Linked DNA regions of Sus scrofa. The protein of the gene in region 1 interacts with the protein of each later gene in a pairwise test. Links are inferred from orthologs where the notes say so. Each region holds a gene or a part of one and is shown in the gene's direction. Other genes may lie near its edges.

Region 1 (2,719 bases):
ATTTCTTTGTACTGAACCACATGACAAGGTAAGATGTGTTTTAAAATATTGGGGGAGTTCCCATTGTAGTTCAGTGGTTTAAGAACCCGACTAGTATCCACGAGGATGTGGGTTCAATTCCTGGCCTCACTCAGTGGGTTAACGATCCAGGATTGCCACCAGCTGCAGTGTAGGTGGCAGATGCGGCTCAGATCTGGTGTTGCTGTGGCTGCGGCGTAGGTCTCAGTTGCAGCTCCAATTTCGACCTCTAGCCTGGAAACTTCCATATGCCTCGGGTATGCCCTAAAAAAAAAAAAAAGTAATAAAAATAAAATATCAGGTTGTTTTCTGTTTATAAAAGTAATGTTTATTGTGAAAATTTTGAAAATTCGAGCAGTGTTAAGAAAATAAATGTGGAGTTCCCTGGTGGTGCAGCAGGTTAAAGATCCTGTGTTGTCACTACTGTGGCTCGGGTTCAATCCCTGGTGCAGCCTAAAAAAAAAGAAAGAAAGAAAATAAATGTTAGCTGGGACCTATCCCTTGTAAATAACCACTGTTCACTTTAAAAAGTGAAATACTTTTTAAAAATACACAGTACAGTTTATTCGAGTTAAATATCCTCACACAAAGAAGCTCGGTGTAGCTTCATTAACATAAGCTCATTCTGTATTCCTACTTAAATGTCGATAAATTTTATTTTTCTTTATCAGTGATAGTTCAGTTTCAAAGTATTTTCCCCCTAAGTTTTTTTGTCTTGTTTTTTTCTTTTCTGGATTTGGCTATGGAGTACAGTGGATTGATGTGGGATCTCAGTTCCCAGACCAGGGATTGAACCCAGGCCTCAGCAGTGAAAATGCTGAGTCTAACTACTCGAACACCAAGGAACTCCCTCCTACCTCACTTTTAAGTGCTTAGTATTTAATTAAATGTTATTAATAGTGCTGTCATTCTTGCATCCCATTTCTACTTCAGATAGAAAAGTATAATTAGGACTTAAACTATTTTCTTATTTTAGGATGTTTCTCTACCAAGGAAACAAAAAAGTGTATTTTTAAATTCCACAGGTGAATTGTTTTAAACTGGTTTTTTGTGAGTTTTTTTGTTTTGTTTTGTTTTTTGCTTTTTAGGGCTTTCAAGCTCGTTTAGGAAAGCATATGATCTATCCTGGAAATGTTCTATGTGATTTTAATTGATTTTTTAGGGCCACACCTGTGGCATATGGAGGGTCCCAGGCATGGGTCAAATCGGAGCTACAGCTGCTGACATATGCCACAGCCACAGCAACTCAGGATCTGAGCCACATCTGCGACCTACACCACAGCTCACAGCAATGCCAGATACCCGACCCACTGAGTGAGGGCAGGAATCGAACCCACACCCTAATGGATACTAGAAGGATGCTTTTCCGCTGAGCCACAACAGGAACTCCTAAACTGTTATTTTAGTTATGGAATTCTGACAAGCTCTGCATCTTTGTTTTAGAAGGAAGATCTTCTGGAGCCACAGGAACAGCTCCCCCCACCTCCTCTAACACCCCCCATTTCCCAGGTTGACGCTGCTATCGGATTACTCATGCCTCCTCTGCAGACCCCGGATAATCTCTCTGTGTTCTGTGACCACAACTATACTGTGGAGGACACCATGCACCAGAGGAAAAGGATTCACCAGCTAGAGCAACAAGTTGAAAAACTCCGAAAGAAACTCAAGACTGCGCAGCAGCGATGCAGGAGGCAGGAGCGACAGCTGGAAAAGTTAAAGGAGGTTGTACACTTTCAGAAGGAGAAAGACGACGTCTCAGAGAGGGGTTATGTGATTCTACCAAATGACTATTTCGAAATAGTTGAAGTACCAGCGTGAAAAGTGAAATTTGTTATTGGGTTTTAATGGGGCAATACCACATACCCTCTTCTAGCCTGTAGAGGAGTTTCATTTGAAAGAAATTACACTTGATTACTTGTATAAAAACAATTCAGAATATTTTTTTAAAAGAATAAATTAGATATATACTGTAAAATTGTAAAAATTTTGGTTTGTAATTTCAGGGTTTTTACATTTTAACAAACTATTTTCAGAGTTCTAAACTAACCTCAAACCTTCAATGTAAGTTAGTTTCAAGATTGAGGATTTTTGTTTTTTAATTTGAGTATTTATAGAAATGATATAACAATAAAAAGTTAAGAAAATGAAAACAACACAGTAAAGATGATTTAAGTTTTAAGTTTAAAATTGTAAATTAATGCATTTTATTGAGAAAACATAGTTATGTTCTAAATCAGAAGCATGTGACATAATTTCTCAGAATACATATGTATATTCTTATTCACAGATTCTTATTTGTAAAGACAGATGATTCATTTATCTTTCTTAATCACTTATCAAAGATAAATTGGAAAGTCAATACTTAAAAAAAAAGTTGGTTGTCTTCAGAGCAGAAAAGGAGAAATCAAAATGGTTAAATGACTTTAAAGAATGGATTCTTTAATCTCTTTCTCCCTGCTGTCCCGCGTTACAGAATTAGAAGTGTATCTCCAGTGAGAGAGAGATTCTTCTGTAAACGAAGGAGGCATTATTATCAATGAAGTCATGAAAGTGGGGGCCCGGTACATGGTCTGCCTTTTTCTGTCATTGCTCCAAGCTGAGGGGCATGCAGGCCCCCAGCTGTAGGCTCATCTGCATCCACATCTGTAACAGATGAGTTGTGTTCGTCAAGTTTGACTTGTACCCTAAGTTGGAAATCTTA
Region 2 (4,097 bases), on another chromosome or scaffold:
TTGTTTTGTGTTTTTGGCCACTTTGCAGCACATGGAGTTCCCACACCAGCGATCAGATCCGAGCCAGTTTCAGCCAACATCACACCGGCAGCAATGCTAGAACCTTTAACCTGCTGTGCCAAGCCTGTGTCCTGGTGCTGCAGAGACAGCGCCCACCCCATTGCGCCCCAGCAGGAACTTGTCTGCCCCTCTCTGGCAGGGATCTGGCTGTTAATTCTGACCCAATCAGCCCATTCCCCAGTCTAGGACCCATGCTGAGTGGTGGTTACGCAGGCTTGCTGACCCTAGACACCTGCAGCGACTTAATTCGTGCTAGAAAATGACATTTTTAGTTTAATAATCTTGAAATGATAGACATGACCCGGTTTGCTCCCTCTGGTCCTGAGGCTTATAGATAAGTGGTGGGCTGCTGCTATGGTCTGGTAATACAGGTGTGACCAGGAGGAACTATTTAGTTTCGTATAAATAGGTCTTCAAATTGCACTGGAGAACTTGAGTTATGTGGGTTTTGATTTTCAAAAATCTGACTATAGAAGCAATTTATGTTCATTGCAAAACATTGGGGAAAAGTCATATGTAGTTTTATCGAGTAAAAGCGCTCTGAAATTACGACACAAAGATGTGTTCACCTTCCCCCTCTTTTTTGGGCGGATTTTGTGACCTCAACTTGGCCTGGACTCCCTTGCAGGGGATACAGTATGCAAAAGAACCTATTAGCATCTTTGGGGCTCTTCACTGCAGGTCAGGCACTCCCAGGACAATGCTCAGCGCTCTAGAAAAGTCTCCTTGGAATAACCCAGAGGTGCTTTGCAATTGCAGGCTGGGGCAGCAGAGGCCTGACGGCTTCTTGCTCCCCGTTTTGCGCACCCTAGCCTGGCCAGGAAGGCTCCTTTACGAGAAAACCGCCTCCAGTTTCCTCTCGAAGTTGATCTGAGAAAGCGCGACCAGGCCACCGCCTCCCGCAGGCCTCTCCGCCCACGCAGGCATCTGGGTCTCAGGTGCGGCCTCGTCGCCTCCTGGGCGCGCCCCAGGCCCGCGGATGGGGTAACGACGCGAACAAACACGCGCAGGGCGAGGCTGACCCTGGTGGCTGCCCAGCCCCGCGCCCGTGCCTCTCAACGGCCGCCGAACCTTCTGGAAGCGGCGCCCCGCCGCGGCCCCACAGCCGCCGCCAGAACCGGACGCCCAGGGAGCCGACGCGGGCCGGGGGGCGGGGCGGAGGCGAGCGCGCGGGGCGGGCCTTCGCAGGAGTCTGTGTTCGATTCGCGGTCGGCGCGCAGGCCCCGCCTCCCTGGCACCATGGCCCCGCCTCTCCCCTCCCCCTCCATGGCGCCACCCGGGCTCATTCATTTCGCCCCGGGCCTGCCAGACACCTGCGTTCTCCCTCGGCCGCCCGCCTCCGCTGCTGCCGCTGCCGCCGCCGCCGCCGCCGCAGCCAGCATGTCGGGCCCCACCGCGGATACCCCGTCCGCCATCCAGATCTGCCGGTAAGCGTGGCGTGCGGCGGCAGGCGGCCAGGATTCCGAGTCGCCGCCCGGGCCTGGCCGACCCTGTGCGCCCTCCCCTCCTCAGTCCCCGCCCCCGCCGGGCCGGTTACCTCCGGACTCCGCCCGCCCGCCGCGGCTGGGATGCGCCTCCGGCGCCGCAGAGCCGGCAGCCTCACCGCGTCTCTCTGCCGGCCTCCGGCGCATCTCCGGTCACGCAGGCCGTTTGCATGAGGAAGCGGTGCGGAGCCCTTCCCCTGGGCGGGGGTCGGAGCGCATCCCCCCTCTGCCCAGCCCAGCCCAGCCCTGCCCCGCCCGGTGCCCGAACGCGCCGAAGCCCCAGCCCAGGTCCCAGTGAGCCCCCTAATTCGAGGTCGTGATCCGGGCGGTGGTGCAAAGCCAACCGGATATCCCGACCTGTGCGGCGCAAGTAACCCGCTGGCTGGGCGGCGGCCGGAGCCCATCGGTGGGCGCCCGAGTGGGCGGGGGCTGCAGATATGCAGTCCCTCCTGTCCGCTGCCACGGTTTGGGGCGGGGCGGGGGGAGCAGGCTGTTAACAGCAAGAACAGGAAATGCCCTTCCTCTGTAACACTGCACTGCTAGGAGGGGAGGATGGTCGTTGAGCCCGGAAGCATCTTACACAATGGGGGCAAAGGCTTGTTCTTGTTGGGGGACCAGCCCTGCCTTTCTCCACCGGCACCGGCAGATCGAGGGCCTGGAGGACGCGCGGGAGATCGCGAGCCGGCTCATTTCCGACAGGAGCGGGAGGGCAGCCTCAAGGTTACTCTCCATTCCCTGGGACCGAGTGGAAGCAGGCACGGTGGCATTTGAGCTAAGGAGGGGCGAGGAAGCTAGGAAGGCCGAATGGTGGCTGGGGCCTGCCACGGGGCCTGTGCTGCTTGATGCCTCGGCGGAGAGTGACAGCGGCTTCCTGTTTGAGGGCCAGTCCTTCAGATTTGGAGATTGGGCATCACACTGACCTTGGGTCCAAGCCAGATTAGTTTCCTGTGAATGCCGGCATCTCTTTAGAAGAGGCAAAGGCTGGGCATACACTATGGTATCAAGGGGGTGCCCTGAATCCTGACCTCAAGGGCAGTTTTGATCTTTCTAGGGAGAGGAATTCTCTGGGGAGGGGGGGGTCTTTCACCACTGATTTGTTATTGGCTGTCTTGGCCCCACCCACTCCAAGTTCCAGGGGCAAAAATAATAGAAGTGGCTGATCCTGGGAGACAGAAGGGCCTGGAGTCTAGGCCTAAGATCCGTCTCTGCTGCGTATTGGCCAGGTGAACTTGGAGTTCATCTTTGCAAAGGGTTTTAACATCTCTCATGTTGCTCGGTTTGCCCAGCATCCCTGGGGAGGGAGGATGGCAGGAATCTCACCACTCTTGCTGTGGAAGAGGAGACAGGTCCTGGGAGACGCACTGCCTCCATAAGGTCATCCAGCCACAGGAGCGGGAGGGGCGGCTGCTGATAGGTCCTCTCTCTCCGGAGCTGCGTTTTTTGCACTGTGCTCTCCCCCAAATGGAATACTGATTTCAGGGTACTCAGAAAGGCTTATTACTTCCTCAGGGTGATGACTAGCCAGTCCATATATGTGACCGTTTTAAAAATCAGCTTCCAACCTTACTAGACACACTTCCGCGTGTGTGCCCATGCTTCTTTTTGCTTCTTAGCCGTGGTACTTGCCTATCTCTCAGATACTCACAATGGCATATTGTCTCTGAATGGGGACACATGGACAGGGCACCTGGCTGAGGTCGGCCTCAGGTGCCCAACACAACTGCCAGAGGGCCTGCAGTCACCAGGGCTTGGCCTAGAGAAATCTCAGGACATGGGAGAGTGGATGTACCAGCATGGGAAGCTCTTTAAGGCCATCTGAGCCAATGGCCCATGTTGAAAGAGGAGCCTCCTGGCTTGGGGCAGCCAAGCCTATGAATTTAACAAGCTTCGCTGGAAGCCTCTAGGGCTGAAGTGCCAGGAGGGCCAACTCCAACGTGGAAGATTTGGTCCCCAGCTTAGGGGCTTCACAGTCTAGCGGGGAGAGGATGCCAGAACCCCTCACGTGGCATCCTCGTCTGTTAAGAGTGTCACGTGACCTCGGTTTGACGGTGTCGAAGGGATGGGCTTTCGAGGCTGGGGAGGGCAGTGGTTAGAGCCAGCTTGGGTGTGAATTTGGCCTCTGCCCCTTGGAAGCTGTCGACCTTCCTGGGCCCCACCCATTTTATCATGGGCTCTTCTGAGCGCTAAAGAAAGTATGTCTGGTGCCAGGCAGAGTGTCTGGCACCTTGTAAGTAAAGGGAAGCTCTTTTTGTCCGAAAAGTGGGACACAGGCTTAGGAAGCCAGGAGCCTACTTTCGAATCCCAGGGCTGCCCCTTGCAGGTGTGGGCTTTAGGCTGGATTCTTAAGCTTGCAGGGCCTCCGTCTCCTTGTCTGTGAAGTGGAGAAAATAACAGCGGCTGTTTCAGGGTGGCTCTGAGCATGAAAACCTCTGGCACAGTGCTGGGCAGTTGTTAACAGAAGGAACAGTTTACCCTGCAGAGCCCGACCTTTGGACAGCCAGGCCACTGCAGTGGGCCGTCCCGCTCGTCTTTGGAGCTAGCCCTGAAGATGCG
Region 3 (3,500 bases), on another chromosome or scaffold:
GAGATTCAGGCCCTGCTGGTAAGAGAAGTCTCAAGTGAATTTTCTATGTACACGGGGGTGGGGGGGGTGAGGGGGTGGGGGGGGAGTGTGTGTATGGGCTGGGACTCGGGGCGGTGGGGGGGGCTGCGCAGGGATATTGAAGGATGGGGAGAGGGAAGGTGTGATGGATGGGATCCTTGTTCTGAATTCATCCCCAGATCTCACAAATGTTCTGGTGTTTCCTAGCCTGTCAGAAGAAATCATCTTTCTCTTTCTGCCTTTAGGCAAAATTCCAGAACCACAAGCAAGACATAGCATCCGTGTTTGAGCAAGGCCATCGGTTCCTGAGAGAAAGGGAGCAGTACCTGTTGGAGTGTCTGGAGGGGATGGAGCAAGAGCTCACTGAAGGGAGGAACAGCCATGTCACCAAGGGCTCCGAGGAGGTCGTCCGGCTTGGGACCCTGATTACTGAGTTAGAGAATAAGGCTCGGCAGCCAGCACTTGAACTTCTGCAGGTGAGGGACCAACTAAATGGTGCCTGAGTCCTCTGGCTCCAGGCTACAGTGTGGCCCCTCCATTAGCATGAGATAGGGACAAGGAGTCAGGAGAGACAAGGTTTTATTTTCATGTATTGAATTCCTTGATAAGTTAATCAGTAAACCAATAGGCTTTAAGTCCCAAATTGCAATGGGCCAGGGATTGTAATATGCACAGATCACACAATGAAGTAGAAGGAGCTATACATTTATAATCACGAGAAATAACTGAGTGTTAAATCTTGCGTTCAGACTGAAACCACAGGAACTCCGGAAAAGGCTAGGGTTTAATCAGGGAAGCTTTCACAAAATTAGCGGCCCGTAAGGGTAGCCTTGAAGAAAATGTAAAGATTTGAATTAGCAAGAAGGAGGAATTGAACATTCTCTTTGGTGGAGGTGCATTGGTTAAAATGAAGTAAATGAATGTGATAATAAGCTTAACGAGTATGATAGTAAAAAGATGGGTGAAGGTGCTGAGGAAGATGGTTTGGAAGACGTGAAGGTGACATAGAGTGAAAGGGGCTACCTTTCTGGAGGCGTCAGCCTAAGTGAGGAAGACGTTTAAGGGAAGATGAGGTAGGGAAGATGAGGCCAGCCGAGTAGAGGCCTCCCAAGCCAGGCTGAGACTTCAGTCTTATCTTGATAGACAATAAGATTCTTAACAGATTAAGGAAGGCCCCTGGGAGTTCCCAATGTGGTACAATGGGTTAAGAATCCCACTGCAGTTCCTTGGGTTGCTTCGGAGGTACGGGTTTGATCCCCAGCCTGGCACCGTGGGTTAAAGGATTTGGCATTGCCACAGCTGCAGCATAGGTCATAGCCGTGGCTTGGATTCACTCTCTGGCCTGAGAACTTCCATATGCTGTGAGTGCAGCCATTAAAAAAGAAAGAAGAAGAAAAGAAAAGGAAGGGTCCTGGAGGGACTAGTCTAGAACTCAAATGGAGAAAAAGAAGGGGAAACATATGCCCTCATAAATGGATATTACAGAGGAGCACAGAATAGGACTAGGCCCTGTACAGAATAATTCTCTGTATGGTCTCCCCTGTTCCCCAACAAGCCCATTGTAGGGAATGGTGTTGGCTCCTGGGAACCTTGTTTCTATGACAATCTGTGTTCTCTTCCTTTCCAGGACCCAAGTGACATAATAAACAGGTAGGTGTTGCCTTTTTTTTTTTTTTTTAATCACTTAGGTGTCCCTTTGTTTTTTCTTTCTGTCACCTTTTTGAAATTTGGCAAGGGTGGGAAAGGGATTCTTGGGAGGAAGAGAGGTTCTTTTAGAATGGATAAGTTGAAAGATATTCCATGGAATGGGGGAAGGAGTTCTGGAAAATTATTGTCATGGAATTTAGGATGGTAATAGGATAGGGAGAAGGGAAATGGGAAGAGATTATGGGAGGGTATTAGAGAAAATTTAGCATATGTGTTTGTTTATCAAACTCAATTTCTTTTTGTTCTTTCTATTCCTACTTGGTTCCCTGCCGCCTCTCCTGGCACAGCTTCCCTCATATGCTGTACAGCATGTTTCATCATTGCATTGTCCTCCATGCTCCGTAGTGATGGTTTCCTGCTCTCTGCCTGACCATAAGAAGTGGACTCTCGGAGTTCACGTTGTGGCGCAGCGGAAACAAAGCCGACTAGGAACCATGAGGTTGCAGGTTCGATCCCTGGCCTCGATCAGTGGCTTTAGGATCCGGCGTTGCTGTGAGCTGTGGTGTAGGTTGCAGACATGGCTTGAATCTGGTGTTGCTGTGGCTCTGATGTAGGCCAGCAGCTATAGCTCTGATTAGACCCCTCGCCTGGGAACCGCCATATGCTGCGGATACAGTCCTAAAAAGACAAAAGACAAAAAAAAAAAAAAAAAGAAGTGGACTCTCATATGGGTCATAGGGATAATGGTTTCTGTGATAGTTTGACAGGAATTATACCTGCCTAATATCAGAAGCTTTGAACAGAGATACAAGGCAGGTATGTTACTAAAAACACAGTTCATCCTGGAGACATCCAGGATTATTAGCCTATACTTAACATTTACTGTGGAGCAGGAGCAGTTACTGGGTAGAAAGGAGGGTGATGAGACTCTGGCTGGGGAGACTAGACAGAGACAATTACAGATGAGTAGTTATTCAGTTAAGGAGAGTGATGCCGAATGGGTGGTACTTCTTGCCCCAGAGTAATGTGTCTAATGTTAGTAAAATTATTCTAGTGTTTTTTTTGATTAGTGTCTGCATGCTATTTAACTTTTTACCCTTTAACTCTCAACCTTTCTGTGTTCTGCTGTGTTTTTGTTTTCTTTCTTTCTTTCTTTCTTTTTGCATTGGTTTGGTGGTTTTTCTTTTTTTTTTTTTTTCTTAGGGCCACATCCAAGACATATGGAGGTTCCCAGGCTAGGGGTCGAATCAAAGCTACAGCTGCCGGCCTACACCACAGCCACAGCAACTCCAGATCCGAGCCACCTCTGCGACCTACACCACAGCTCACGGCAATGCTGGATCCTTAACCCACTGGGTGAGGCCAGGGATTGAACCCACAACCTCATGGTTCCTAGTCAGATTTATTTCCGCTGAACCACAACAGGAAGTCCGGGGCAGTTTTTTGTTGTTGTTGTTGTTTTGTTTTGTTTTGTTGTCTTTTGTCTTTTTAGGGCCATAAATTTTTGTTTTCTTTTTAAATAAATTCATTCTGACACTTTTAAATTGGAATGTTTACTATTTATAGTGCCTGGAAAATCACCATTTTCACTTATATTTTTAAAAGTATTTGCATGGTTTGCCTAATAATGTCCTTAAATTTAATTTCTTTGTATCTGAATATATTTGTTTGTTTTGTGTATTTCTACTTTTGACTCCTCTACTTGCCTCTCTCTTCTTTTTTTCTATTTTAAATATTTTTTTTTGTTTTTGTATGTATATGAGCCCTGCTTTTGTCATATGCCATAATTTCTATGATATTTTCATTGTTTTCTAGATATTTTGTTTTGTTTGCTT
Region 4 (4,071 bases), on another chromosome or scaffold:
GGTCAAATGGCATGTGCATATTTAAAAATAAAACTTTTTATTTCAGAATAATTTTTGGTTTACAGAAATATTTTGAAGGCACTATAGGCAGTTCCTGTATACTCCACACTGTTTCCTCTATTATTAACATCTCACATTAGTATAGCACATTTGTCACAGTTCCAATGATCCAATGTTGAGATAACATTAACAAAAGTCCAGATTTCTTTATTTTTATTAATGTCCTTTTTCTATTCCAGTTATCCCATCAGGATATCTCATTACATTTAGTTGTCATGTCTCTTTAGACTCCTCTTGGCTGTGACAGTTTCTGAGACTTTCCTTATCTTTGAAAATTTTGACAATTATGAGAAATGCTGGTTAGACATTTTGTAGACGGTCCCTTACTTGGGAGTTGTCCATTTCTCCCTTTATGATTTGATTGGGGTTGTGACCTGTGGAAGGAAAGTACGGTAGAGATAAAATGCCATTCTCCTTCATATGGGATCTAGTCCACATACTATCGACATGTTTTATCACTGTTTATGTGAACCTTGATCACCCAGCTGAAGTAGTGCTTATCTAGTTTCTCCACTATAAAGTTACTCCCCTCTCCCCTTTCCATATTGTACTCATCGGAAGGAAGTCATTGCAGAGTCCACATTTAGAATCGTGAATTATGCATGCCTGGAGGAGTATCTATATAAATTTCTCGGAATTCTGCACCAGATATTTATCTCTTCTTACCCATTTATAAATTTATTTGTATCAATAATTGACATATCAGTTTGGCCTATGGATATTACTTTTATATTTCAAGTTATAATCCAAGACTATTTTACTCGCTTTGTTACTCAAGGCAAGTGTGTTTTTAGTAGTCTGAGTAACTCACTATAACGCTACCCCGCCAAAGGGGATACAACCCGAAGGGTTCCCTAACTTCAGGCACCTTTTATAAAGTAGATAGGCGAGCAAGGGCGAGGCCGATACCTCTCTCCAGCGTCCAATTTCCTGACGCCCTCAAGGTAGATGAAGCCTGCCAGGGTAGGCCCTTCCCCAAGACCGTCACCTCCACCCCATAGGCACCCCATGAATTGCCTGCCCCCTGACCGCCTCCCCTCCTTGCGCCTTGCCTTTCTTCCGGGTTCCTTGCCCCACCCCCACCCTCGTGGGGCGGAAGTGGGCGCGGCCGCGGGCAGGAAACGCTCGACAGGGGCGGGCCCTCTCGCGCAGACAGCCCCTCCCATTCTACCCCCGTCCCACCCCTCCGGCCCAGACCGGAAATGAGGTCAGAGAGGGAAGCCCCGGCGGGGAGACTCGGCCCCAAAAGCGGCGGCCGTTGGAGGTGGCTGCGGCAACCGGTGAGGGGGAGGGGAGGTGTGGGGGTCGGGGCCCAGGAGGCCGGGGCCAGCGAGGATCCCGGCTCAGGGCCGCTGCTGAGTGTCCAGAGGCGCCGCGGAGCCGCGGAGGCCGGCGGGAGGGGCGAGGGTGACGGAGCCTTGTTTTTCAGGGCCCATCTCGGGAGATGAAGGTCGGGCCATCTCCGGGGCGACAGTCACCTTCTCTCTTCTTTGCTTTCTGGCCCTTTGGGGCTGGCGACAGCGAAAGGGTTTGTTGCCCCGAGCTGCAGTCCCCCTCGTCCTTGGGAGCGGGCCAGGGCGTGGGGGGTAGTCCTTCGAAACACGCTTTTTCTCACGTACGTGGCCATGTTGCGACCCCTGAGCCCCGAGGGACCCTAGTCGTCAGGATTTGCATTTTGTCAGTTTCTGCCCTAGAAGGGCTGACCCCCTGACCCGGGTCAGTCCAAAAGAGAAGTTGCCTCCTACGCTCCCTCCCCCAATCCCGTCTCCCTCTCCGACCCTGGCCCGGCCTCTCATTTTACTTCTACTAGTTTCGAGATCCTTCCTTTGCGGCGGAGAAAACAGCCTTTTCTGCTTGCCTGTCTCGGGGGTCTTATCGGACTGTGCATCCAGGGAGGGCTGGGAGTTCCAGGGTTCTTCTGTTACTGCTCTAATTGCAGCCTTTGAGGCAAGCATTCTCCTGCACAGGCATTTGATTGGCAAGTTGTTCGGTAACTTAGTTCCAAGTTGAAGTTTGTACACTTCTGCCTGTGGTTTTTAAAGCAGTAGTTCTTTTCAGGGAAATAGATTTAGATAAGTGCGCCCCCACTTATATAGCTTGGTTTTAGGGACAGTTGTTCGCCAAACCCCAGTCATGGAGATTTAAACTACTTATTGCTTAAAGAGACTTGGTCATTTTATGAGTGTGGCTTTTTACACTGAGAAGTTTCGTTTGGTTGGTGGTTTTGGAGCTAGGTGCCCTTATTGCTCCTTCTGCCTTTGAATTGGTTGGCATGAAAATAGATTTTTAGGAAGTCCTTTGCAAAATGTAAACCGTTGAAAGGTAAATACGGTCTGAGAGTGGTGCCACAGAGTTTTAAACTCAAATTATGATCTTGAAATACATTGGACTTAAGGGCTAAGGAAAAAGAGCTAATTTAAAATGTATTTAATTAGATGTATGAAATATATTAGACATTTCCTTTTAAGAGGGCATATTGAAAATCACTCCTCCTCCTCTCAGGATCTGGAAGGTTTGCCTGTGAAGTGATCCCTGAAGTATGATGGTTTGACAAGAATAAGTTGAAAAATAGGAAGTTTTGGAAAGCTGTTAGCTGGACATTGTAGACTCCACTCATACTTGTCATTTCAGCCTCAGTTATATCCTGTGATTATCTGGCCCTAAGCACAGAATTTGGTTGATCATTCAATTTATTTTTCTGAAGGATGAGGAGAACTTAAAAGATTCTAATTATTCATGTACTCTATAAGGCTCTTTACTTGGTAGCTTCTGGGTGGTAGTTGGGACCAGAATGGGTGCCGATTTTTTTTTTTTTCCATGCAGAGAACAAGCCTGGGTCACTATAAATTCTTGGATCACTAAAACTGCAAGCAGTCTTCCAGAAAGTATGTCACTAAGTTGTCTTTCTGTTCCTGCCACAAGCACTCTTATTAGTGACCCCAGACCATAGAACAGTCTTTCATCCTGGTTTTGAAGTTGAGTGTTTTTCCGCTCCTATCTCATGAGACATTTTCTCATCTTTTTAGATCTCATCATCAGGTAATTTACTTTAGCAAGTTTAATTGGGGGAAAATGGGAAGGGTTTATTTCACTGAGTTTGCTTGTTGTTACTAACAACCCAGTTGTCATCTGGTGCTTAAGAATATGTTGACCTCAGGAATTTAACAAGTGCCAGACACCTATGTTTAGTGGTTTAAGGGAGTATGGATGGTAGGAATAGAGTCTAAGTGTAGCCAGGTAAAAAGTGACTTTATTTGCTATAGATAGGGTGCACTCTGCAGTTCCATGATCAATTTTTTAAAATTATTCAAAAACAACAGATCCTGAGTCTTTCTTTTTCTTCTTTCTTTCTTTTTTTTTTTTTTTGGCGAATTTCCATTTGGCAGATGTGGCCTCATGGATGAGCTGGTACATGACTTAGCCTCAGCCTTGGAGCAGACATCTGAGCAGAATAAGCTCGGCGAGCTGTGGGAGGAGATGGCCCTGAGCCCTCGGCAGCAGAGGCGGCAGCTTCGCAAACGGAGAGGCCGGAAGCGCCGTTCAGACTTCACTCACCTGGCAGAGCATACCTGCTGCTACAGTGAGGCCTCTGAGTCAAGTCTGGATGAAGCCATTAAGGACTGTCGAGAAATGGCCCCAGTCACCAATTTTAGTGACTCTGATGACACGATGGTAGCCAAAAGGCATCCAGCTCTCAACGCCATTGTTAAGAGTAAGCAACATTCTTGGCATGAGTCTGACTCCTTTACTGAAAATGCACCTTGTCGACCGCTCAGACGCCGTCGCAAGGTGAAGCGAGTGACATCAGAGGTGGCTGCCAGCCTTCAGCAGAAACTCAAGGTGTCAGATTGGAGCTACGAGAGAGGCTGCAGGTTCAAGTCTGCTAAGAAGCAGCGTCTGTCCCGCTGGAAAGAGAATACTCCTTGGACCTCCTCAGGTCATGGGTTGTGTGAATCAGGAGAAACGAGGACTTTCCTAAGCAAAACAGGAAGAAAGGAAAGGATGGAGTGT
Region 5 (3,139 bases), on another chromosome or scaffold:
AGCTAGGGCTCCGCCAGGTACCCCCGCGGGAGAACAGGCTGAGCCTGGTCCAGGGGCCGCGGCCGCGCTAGCCCCGGGAGGCCAGGGCCTGGCCGCGCGCGCCTTTCCTCCACGGCCGCGAGCCGGGCAGGTCTCAGCGCTGCTGTGCGGACCACTCTCCTGGTTCCTCCCACCCGCTCCTCCCGAAGGCCCGAGCGGTAACTCCTGCGCGCCCGGCCGGGGGCGCGCGGACGGACCTGGCCCCGCACTCCTGGTGCTCAGGCCGGCCGCGTGCCCCGGGAGGTGGGCGCGGGACGACCCTAACCTGTTGTGTGATTCCAGTTGTGATCAGCCCCCGGGAAGGAGCGTGGCGGGCGCGCTGAGACATGCAGCAGCTCGTTCTTGTTTCATGGTGAATATTGAAGACCGGCCAGGCCGCGCCCCGCCGCCCCTGCAGGCCTGGGCCGCCTGCGTCCGCAGGGGATCTCAGCTCCCTTCCCGGCGACCTTGCCCCCGGCAGCAGGCCCCGTCTGCTGTCTGTGTGGCCTGCGGGGACTCGGCCCGTCTGAAAGGCCTGCCCCGTGGTGGCCGTTCGGCTCACTTTGCCAGGGGTTTCCTTGCGCTGAGGCTCGCGGGCCTCGGGTGTGGTCGCGGTGGGCGGCGGGCCTCCAGCCAGGCCGCCCCCAGGCCCTGTGGGTGCAGGGTGTGATCAGAGCCACAGTGACCTGCATTCCCCTTGCGGCGTGGGCGTCCCGGAGGGCTCAGAAGCCCCGCTCAGCGTCCCCTCTGTCTGTAGGCGCTGAAGCTGCAGCAGCAGGAGCAGAAGGCGGAGACGCAGCGGCTGCAGCAGCTGGAAGAACGGCGGCGGCTGCAGGAGGCAGAGCTGCGGCGCGTGGAGGAGGAGAAGGAGCGCGCCCTGGGGCTGCAGCGCAAGGAGCGGGAGCTGCGCCAGCGCCTGCTCAGCATCCTGCTGGGCAAGAAGGCCGACGACCCCCGCGGCCCCGACGAGCCGGGTGTCTCGCGCGCGGCCCTGCTGCAGCCCGTGCTGGCCATGCTGCACACGGTGTCGGCCGGCTGCGTGGGCGCAGGTGCCGCTGCACTGCAGCCCCCCGCCGGCCCAGCGCCCGGCGCCCCCAGGGAGACCCCGCCCCAGCCGGCGGCCGAAGGTGGCCCCCAGAACGTGAACGGGAGCGTCGTGGAGGAGGCCTTGGGCACGGAGAGCCAGCATCCTCGCCTGGCGGCCCCCGACGACGGCCCTCCCGAGAAGAGGTGCCCCGGCGTCCTGGCCTGCATCCCCGACAACAGCCAGCAGCCTCGGGCGGTGCCCGCCGCCTGCGACCAGAGCGCGCCCCGGAAGGACGTCCGCTCCGAGCAGGACAAGTGCAACCGCGAGCCCAGCGGCGGCCGGGGCCGGGCCAGCGCGGAGCGCAGCGGCGACGACCGGCAGGCGCGGGCCAGGAGCCGGACGCGGCGCGCCGCCAGCCGGGAGGACGGCCGGCCGCGGAAGGAGCGGCGGCCGCACAAGAAGCGCTCGCACCAGGACGGCAGCCCGCACCGGCGCAGCGCCAGCTCCGAGCGGGGCCGCTCGCGCAGGTCCCACAGCAGAGACCGGCACGGCCGGCGGGAGCGCAGCCGGGACCGCAGGGGCAGCTCCAGCCGAAAGCGCAGCCGCCACCGCCGCACCGAGAGGTCGCGCTCCGGGTCCCCCAGCCAGCACCGCAGCGCCTGGAACAGGTAATGCAGGGCGGGCCCAGGCCGCCGCCCTCCGGGAGGCCCGGGACCCAGGGAGCGGCGTCGAGCTGCTGCTGCTCTGCTCGTCCCCACCCAGCACACCCAGGGAGCCACCGGGCGACCGGCAGCGGCCAGGCTCCTTTCCTCCAGACCCGCCGCCGCCGCCGCGGTCAGAGGCGTCGACAGCCCCGAGCTTTAGTTTCCCTTAAAACTCCGATAGCTTTAACGTCGCCAGTCCTCGGAATCAGGAACGAGGCGCGGGCCGGCGCCGTGCGGACCGCAGACCCACCGGGCACGGCGGGCGGGCAGCGCAGAAAAGCCCGCGCCTCTGCGCTCGCCCCTGGTACCGACTTCCCGCGGCTGCGCTCACGGTCCCTCCATCACCGCGGCCGCGTGGGCCCGCGTGGGGGCCGCCTCCCCACACGGCACCCGAAGGAGGAAGCCCCGCCCAGGACGCCTGTTGGGGGTTGCCTTTCTCCCTTGTGTGTCACTTGAGCGGGCTGGGCACCAAGTTTGCTGGGAGCCGGAAGCGCTGTGGTGACCTCTGGGCCGGGAAGCCGCGAGTCCTGCAAGGCGGCAGCTCTGCCTCGCGGTCTGGTCAGGGGCGCGGGCGGGCGGGCGCGCGAGTGCTCCTTGCTGTCGGAGACGTTCACGTTTTCCACACCCGAGCGAGTCCGTGGAAAAGGAAGGTGGGGGCAGTTAGCTTTGGTTTCTAGTCCAGGTGAGCCTGTGTGGTTTTTTAAGAAGCTGTTTTGCTAAGTTATTTTTACTTGGAACGTTTCAAACAGATGTAAGGCTGCAAACTTGTTATCTTTTACAAGGTCTGCTTCTCCGGGTGAAGTTCACACTAGCTGTAAGGTCCACGTGGGGAGGACGCTGTTTATCCCAGCTTGCCTTTTTATGGTGAAATAAAGTCTTTTTTCCAATAAGCTGACGTTTCCCGTGCTTCTGTGGTTTCTGGGTGGTGTTTAAGTTCCCTGGGCTCTGTCATCAAGCTGGGCCTGATTTCCGGGTTGGAAATGGATGGAAATCTTTGCACACTGATTTCTAAAGCGACGTTTCTCATGCTGTGACTTTTGTAAAAACAGCCCCCTGGGAAGAGAGCCAGGGCCGTCGGCAACCACGGCCTGCGGTTTGTTTACAGAGAAAGAACATCTAACGGGTTCACAGAAGCCGTCTTTAAAGCTGGTGCCATTTCAAAAGAGTAGTCACGAGTTCCGGCTGTGGCACAAGCGGATCGGGGGCACCTGTAGTGCCAGGACACGGGTTCGACCCCCGGCCCGGCACAGTGGGTTAAGGATCTGGTGTTGGTACAGCTGCCGCGTAGGTCACAGCTCCCGCTGGGAAGTGATCCCGACCTGGGAACTCTATGCTGCGGGCAGCCATAGAAGGAAAAAAAAAAAAAGGGAATTGAAAAGGTTCCCTTCCC
Region 6 (4,144 bases), on another chromosome or scaffold:
AAATGAATGTTTAAGAGCAATAAAGAGAATTGAGGAGAACTAGAATTATTTAGGAGAGACTTGACCTACCAGACATCAAAATAGTCTAAAAATAAACTATGGAAATCAAAGCCATACAAATACTGGCACAAGCAGATCTTTGGAAGAAAACAGAATGTCTAAATGAATTAAATTGGTACAAAATCGGAGTTCCCGTCGTGGCTCAGCGGTTAATGAATCCGACTAGGAACCATGAGGTTGCGGATTCGATCCCTGATCTCGTTCAGTGAGTTAAGGATCCGGCGTTGCTGTGAGCTGTGGTGTAGGTTGCAGATGAAGCTTGGATCCCACGTTGCTGTGGCTCTGGCATAGGCCAGCGGCTACAGCTCCGATTGGACCCTTAGCCTGGGAACCTCCATATGCCAAGGGAGCGGCCCAAGAAATAGGCAAAAAGACAAAAGAAAAAAAAATTTGTACAAAATGGATTTAGGAGACTAAACCTCCATGATCTGTCATTAAATGCTAAAATATCCTTAAATAATTAATATTTGTTACTCTTTCCAGTTGACAAATCAAATTTACCTATACCCTTATAACATCACTATGATATACATAAAAATGTAAGTAATTAACATATATTGCACTTGATGGTTTGATAAGGTCAGCATTTTTCAATGGACGGTTTTTTTGTTTTGTTTTGTTTTGTTAAAGCCGCACCTGCGGCATATATAAGTTCCCCAGCTGGGGGTTGAATGCAAACTGCAGCTGCCAGCCCACGCCACAGCCACACTGGATCTGAACCACATCTTTGATCTACACCGCAGCAGAGGCAACACAGGATCCTTAACCCACTGAACAAGGTCAGGGATTGAACCCAGCATCCTCATGGATACTAGTTGGTTTCATAACCCGCTGAGCCACTGACGGGAACTCCTCATCTGATGGTCTTACTCTTGTTTAACTCATTGTTTTTCACTTTGCTCTCCAGACAACTTCTAGTTTCTTCAACACTGCAGTTTCATTCATTTATATATAAAAATTCATTTGTGTATAAAGATGACCAGGAGTTCCCCCTGGCTAAGCAATAACTGAAACTGACTAGTATCCAAGAGGACACGGGTTCGAGCCCTAGCCTCCATCAGTGGGTTAAGGATCCTACGCTGCCATGTGAGGTGCGGTATAGGTTCCAGACGTGGCTTGGGTTCCCAGTTGCGGTGTCGTAGGCCGGCAGCTGCAGCCAGGATTTGACCTCCTAGCCTCGGAACTTCCATATTCCACAGGTGAAAAAAGAAAAGGGAAGGAACAGATCAACACCTCATTGGAGAATGTTCTTCCCTGTCTCTCCTAGCAATTACATGACCCCACCCTTCAAAAGCCTTGTTCAGAAGAGACAACCGACCTCACTCCTCTTCCTCAAACAAGGGCCCGACACAGGCCCAACCCCCTACTTGCCCCAGAAGCTGCCCCCGCGACTCGCCAGGCGGGACTAGCTCCGCCCACGCCGACAGCCTCCAGGGTTCGAAGGCCCCGCCCCCTTGGAGGAACTTCCCAAAATCCTGCGCGGCGGGCGTCAGCTGCGCTAAGATGGCGACTCCCATGCATCGGCTCATAGCCCGGAGACAAGCGTAAGTGAGGGCCGGAGTCGGGCCGCGGGGCGGGCTGGGGGCGGGGAGAAGCGCGTCAGCCAGCTGGTGAGCGGGCGCCGGGATGCTGGGCCAGTGTCAGATCCTCTTTGTGACTCGGCCGAAGGTGCCGTTTTTCTCATACGTTGCCTCCCCGCAAGGGGCTGGGGCCCGGGCGTTAAGTTTGATGTCCGGTGGACTAGCGATTTCGTGGACGACGGCTGAGTAGGACCGCTAGGCGGGACCTAGGGGTGTCTGAAGAGAGTTTAGCGTTTGGCTCCCGGTTACGGGACGCCCCGGAGTTGGTCACTAAGCGATTGATGCCCCTTTGACAAGTTAGCCGCCCACCCCACGCGTGACAGGGAGAAGCTTGCAGCCCTCATCCAACACCCCCTTTTCTCGCCGACGTAAACCTTCCGCTTCCTGTGAGGGCCTCCAGCCCATCTGGCTTTACCTGCTCCCTTCCTGTTACCTTCCCTAGAAACAGCTGACTACGACGCCGACTTTTTCCCGAACTATCTTCTCACTTTCTGCCGTTCATTCTCTTCAGCAGAATTTAATAAGCATTGCCTATCATTCTATGTCAAGTTTGGGGTATGAGGAAAAAGAAGTGTTCAAGGCAAAACCTCTGCTTTCAGAAAGCTTACATTCTGTTGGTGGAGTCGATAAACTAAACATTTTACGTAAATACAGTTGATAAGAGCTTTGAAGAGGAAATAAGAGGTGATGGAAAGAGAAAGATCCACGTTTGGTTGGTTGGCCAGGAAAGACTTTTCTGAAGAAATGTTTCTGTGGCATTGGAAGAGATCTGAAGTGTGAGAAAGGAGCCAGTCCTGAGAGGACTAAAGGAAAGAGCATCTAGACTGGAGTAGATACCTTGAGACAGGAAAGAACTTCGTTTTTAAGAACCGAAAGATGGCCAGTTGTAGCTAATGAGCTAGTGAAAGGGCGCGCAACAAGAGGTTTGCAGTGAGGAGATAATGAGGGAGTTCATGCCGGATGCCCCCCAACGTGTTTTTTTTTTTTTGGCCATGTCTGAGGCATGTGGAAGTTCGAGGACCAGGGATGGAACCTGAGCCCACAGTAGCCATCTGGGCCACTGCAGTGACAATGCTTCCTAAACCCGCTGTGCCACAAGAGAACTCCCCAGATGCCCCTTTCTTGTAGTCTTTTTTTCTTCTTCTAACCTGCACACTTAACTGTCTGCCGCTTTTTCACTCTCAGCCATTTTTGCCCTCACCATTTTCTCATTTATTGCCCACAGTCTGCTCGAATGTATGTTTATATTTCTTTTTATATTTATATTTTTTTATTTTAAGAACTCTGATCATCCACGTCTCCCTTTCTTCAGACTCTTCCTCTCATGCCCCATGAAAAGAGTCCCTTGAGCGTAAGGATAAAGACTTAGGGAATCAGAGTAAGTAGTATGCTGGCTGGAGGAAGGGCACTTTGAAGTCAAATGGTTCTGAGATTAAGAATGGAGTGACAGTACTTAATAGGTGTGTGCCTAATAATGTCACCAGGGTCTAATCTCTCACTCTCAGGTTTGTTCTTTTGTGTGTTGGTTCCATACTTGGATAGATTCACTCCTTTGGTCCTAAGAGGCTGTTGTATTTAGGGTCCTTTATGTCCTCTCAGCTTCAAGTTGATAGCATCTCACTGTCTAGGTTGGGTTCTATGCCCTTCCCTGAACCAGGTCTATGGGATTATGAAGCTATGATTGATTTGGATATCATTTTTTTTCCTAGCATAATTGAACGGATCTTTATAAGCCAAAGAAGAGCTCAGTGGTGGTGGTAGTTTGGTCAGAGGAGGTAATGATTGCTAGAGTGACAAAACCAACCAATATCCACTGTAAATATGAAGTGAAAGTAAGACTTCTAGTACTTTTAGCATACGTTTTGGAAGTATCACAGAATTAAACAAATGTTCCATTTTTGCAGTGTGTCTTTATGTAGTACATGAGCTTCACCGAAGTAAAAGACAACTCAGCTTTAGGAGGTTTTGGTCTTACTGGGAAGCAAACATGGTGTGTAATAAAACATGTCATGGTTTACAGACTGTCAGGAGTCCCCAAGTAGTCAGAGAGGGAGACCCTTTAGAGGCAAGGGCAGTCCAGTATTTTTGGGGGTGAGGGGAAGGCAGAATAGGAGCATTTACTTTGCATTTTATATTTATCAAAAAGATTTAACTTTGTAAGTTCCCTGGTGGCCTAGGAGGTTAAGGATCCAGCATTGTCACTGCTGTGCTTGGGTCATGGCTGTGGCATGTGTTCAGTCCCTTGCCCAGGAACTTCCACATGCTACAGGAGCAGTGAAAAAAAAAAGATTTAATTTTATTTATAAAGAGCATATATCACTTTCATAAGAACACTTTTAAACTACAGGTTATATACGAGAAAGTACTATTGACATTCTTTTTTTAAAAGTCTTTGGAGGAAAAGAGGAAATTTTGAACTTCCCATTCAGAACATCTTTCAGGAACCTAACTTTGAATCAGACTTAAACACAATTATATGCAGAATGAGAAGAGTAGAAGTGAAA

The links.
Region 2: the proteins of THAP1 (region 1) and ACOT7 interact in binary tests that used the Homo sapiens proteins (3 or more experiments, as listed by UniProt). The two-hybrid records come from large-scale screens. The link is inferred for Sus scrofa from reciprocal best matches to the Homo sapiens genes THAP1 and ACOT7.
Region 3: the proteins of THAP1 (region 1) and tripartite motif-containing protein 26 interact in binary tests that used the Homo sapiens proteins (3 or more experiments, as listed by UniProt). The two-hybrid records come from large-scale screens. The link is inferred for Sus scrofa from reciprocal best matches to the Homo sapiens genes THAP1 and TRIM26.
Region 4: the proteins of THAP1 (region 1) and GPATCH2L interact in binary tests that used the Homo sapiens proteins (3 or more experiments, as listed by UniProt). The two-hybrid records come from large-scale screens. The link is inferred for Sus scrofa from reciprocal best matches to the Homo sapiens genes THAP1 and GPATCH2L.
Region 5: the proteins of THAP1 (region 1) and AKAP17A interact in binary tests that used the Homo sapiens proteins (3 or more experiments, as listed by UniProt). The two-hybrid records come from large-scale screens. The link is inferred for Sus scrofa from reciprocal best matches to the Homo sapiens genes THAP1 and AKAP17A.
Region 6: the proteins of THAP1 (region 1) and ZCCHC10 interact in binary tests that used the Homo sapiens proteins (3 or more experiments, as listed by UniProt). The two-hybrid records come from large-scale screens. The link is inferred for Sus scrofa from reciprocal best matches to the Homo sapiens genes THAP1 and ZCCHC10.

What each region holds. Positions count from the first base shown.
Region 1 is NC_010459.5:11,767,603-11,770,321, reverse strand, and holds part of THAP1 (THAP domain-containing protein 1), read left to right. Parts: coding exon 1-28; intron 29-1,461; coding exon 1,462-1,836; 3' UTR 1,837-2,719. UniProt on the Homo sapiens protein: DNA-binding transcription regulator that regulates endothelial cell proliferation and G1/S cell-cycle progression.
Region 2 is NC_010448.4:67,251,298-67,255,394, reverse strand, and holds the start of ACOT7 (cytosolic acyl coenzyme A thioester hydrolase), read left to right. Parts: upstream 1-1,297; 5' UTR 1,298-1,299; coding exon 1,300-1,487; intron 1,488-2,031; exon of another isoform or gene 2,032-2,127; coding exon of another isoform or gene 2,128-2,264; intron 2,265-4,097. UniProt on the Homo sapiens protein: Catalyzes the hydrolysis of acyl-CoAs into free fatty acids and coenzyme A (CoASH), regulating their respective intracellular levels.
Region 3 is NC_010449.5:22,797,397-22,800,896, forward strand, and holds part of tripartite motif-containing protein 26, read left to right. Parts: coding exon 1-18; intron 19-263; coding exon 264-494; intron 495-1,645; coding exon 1,646-1,668; intron 1,669-3,500.
Region 4 is NC_010449.5:99,324,311-99,328,381, forward strand, and holds the start of GPATCH2L (G patch domain-containing protein 2-like), read left to right. Parts: upstream 1-1,271; 5' UTR 1,272-1,340; intron 1,341-2,883; exon of another isoform or gene 2,884-2,945; intron 2,946-3,446; 5' UTR 3,447-3,456; coding exon 3,457-4,071.
Region 5 is NW_018084901.1:902,435-905,573, forward strand, and holds the end of AKAP17A (A-kinase anchor protein 17A), read left to right. Parts: intron 1-775; coding exon 776-1,717; 3' UTR 1,718-2,639; downstream 2,640-3,139. UniProt on the Homo sapiens protein: Splice factor regulating alternative splice site selection for certain mRNA precursors. Mediates regulation of pre-mRNA splicing in a PKA-dependent manner.
Region 6 is NC_010444.4:135,304,510-135,308,653, forward strand, and holds the start of ZCCHC10 (zinc finger CCHC domain-containing protein 10), read left to right. Parts: upstream 1-1,344; 5' UTR 1,345-1,563; coding exon 1,564-1,604; intron 1,605-4,144.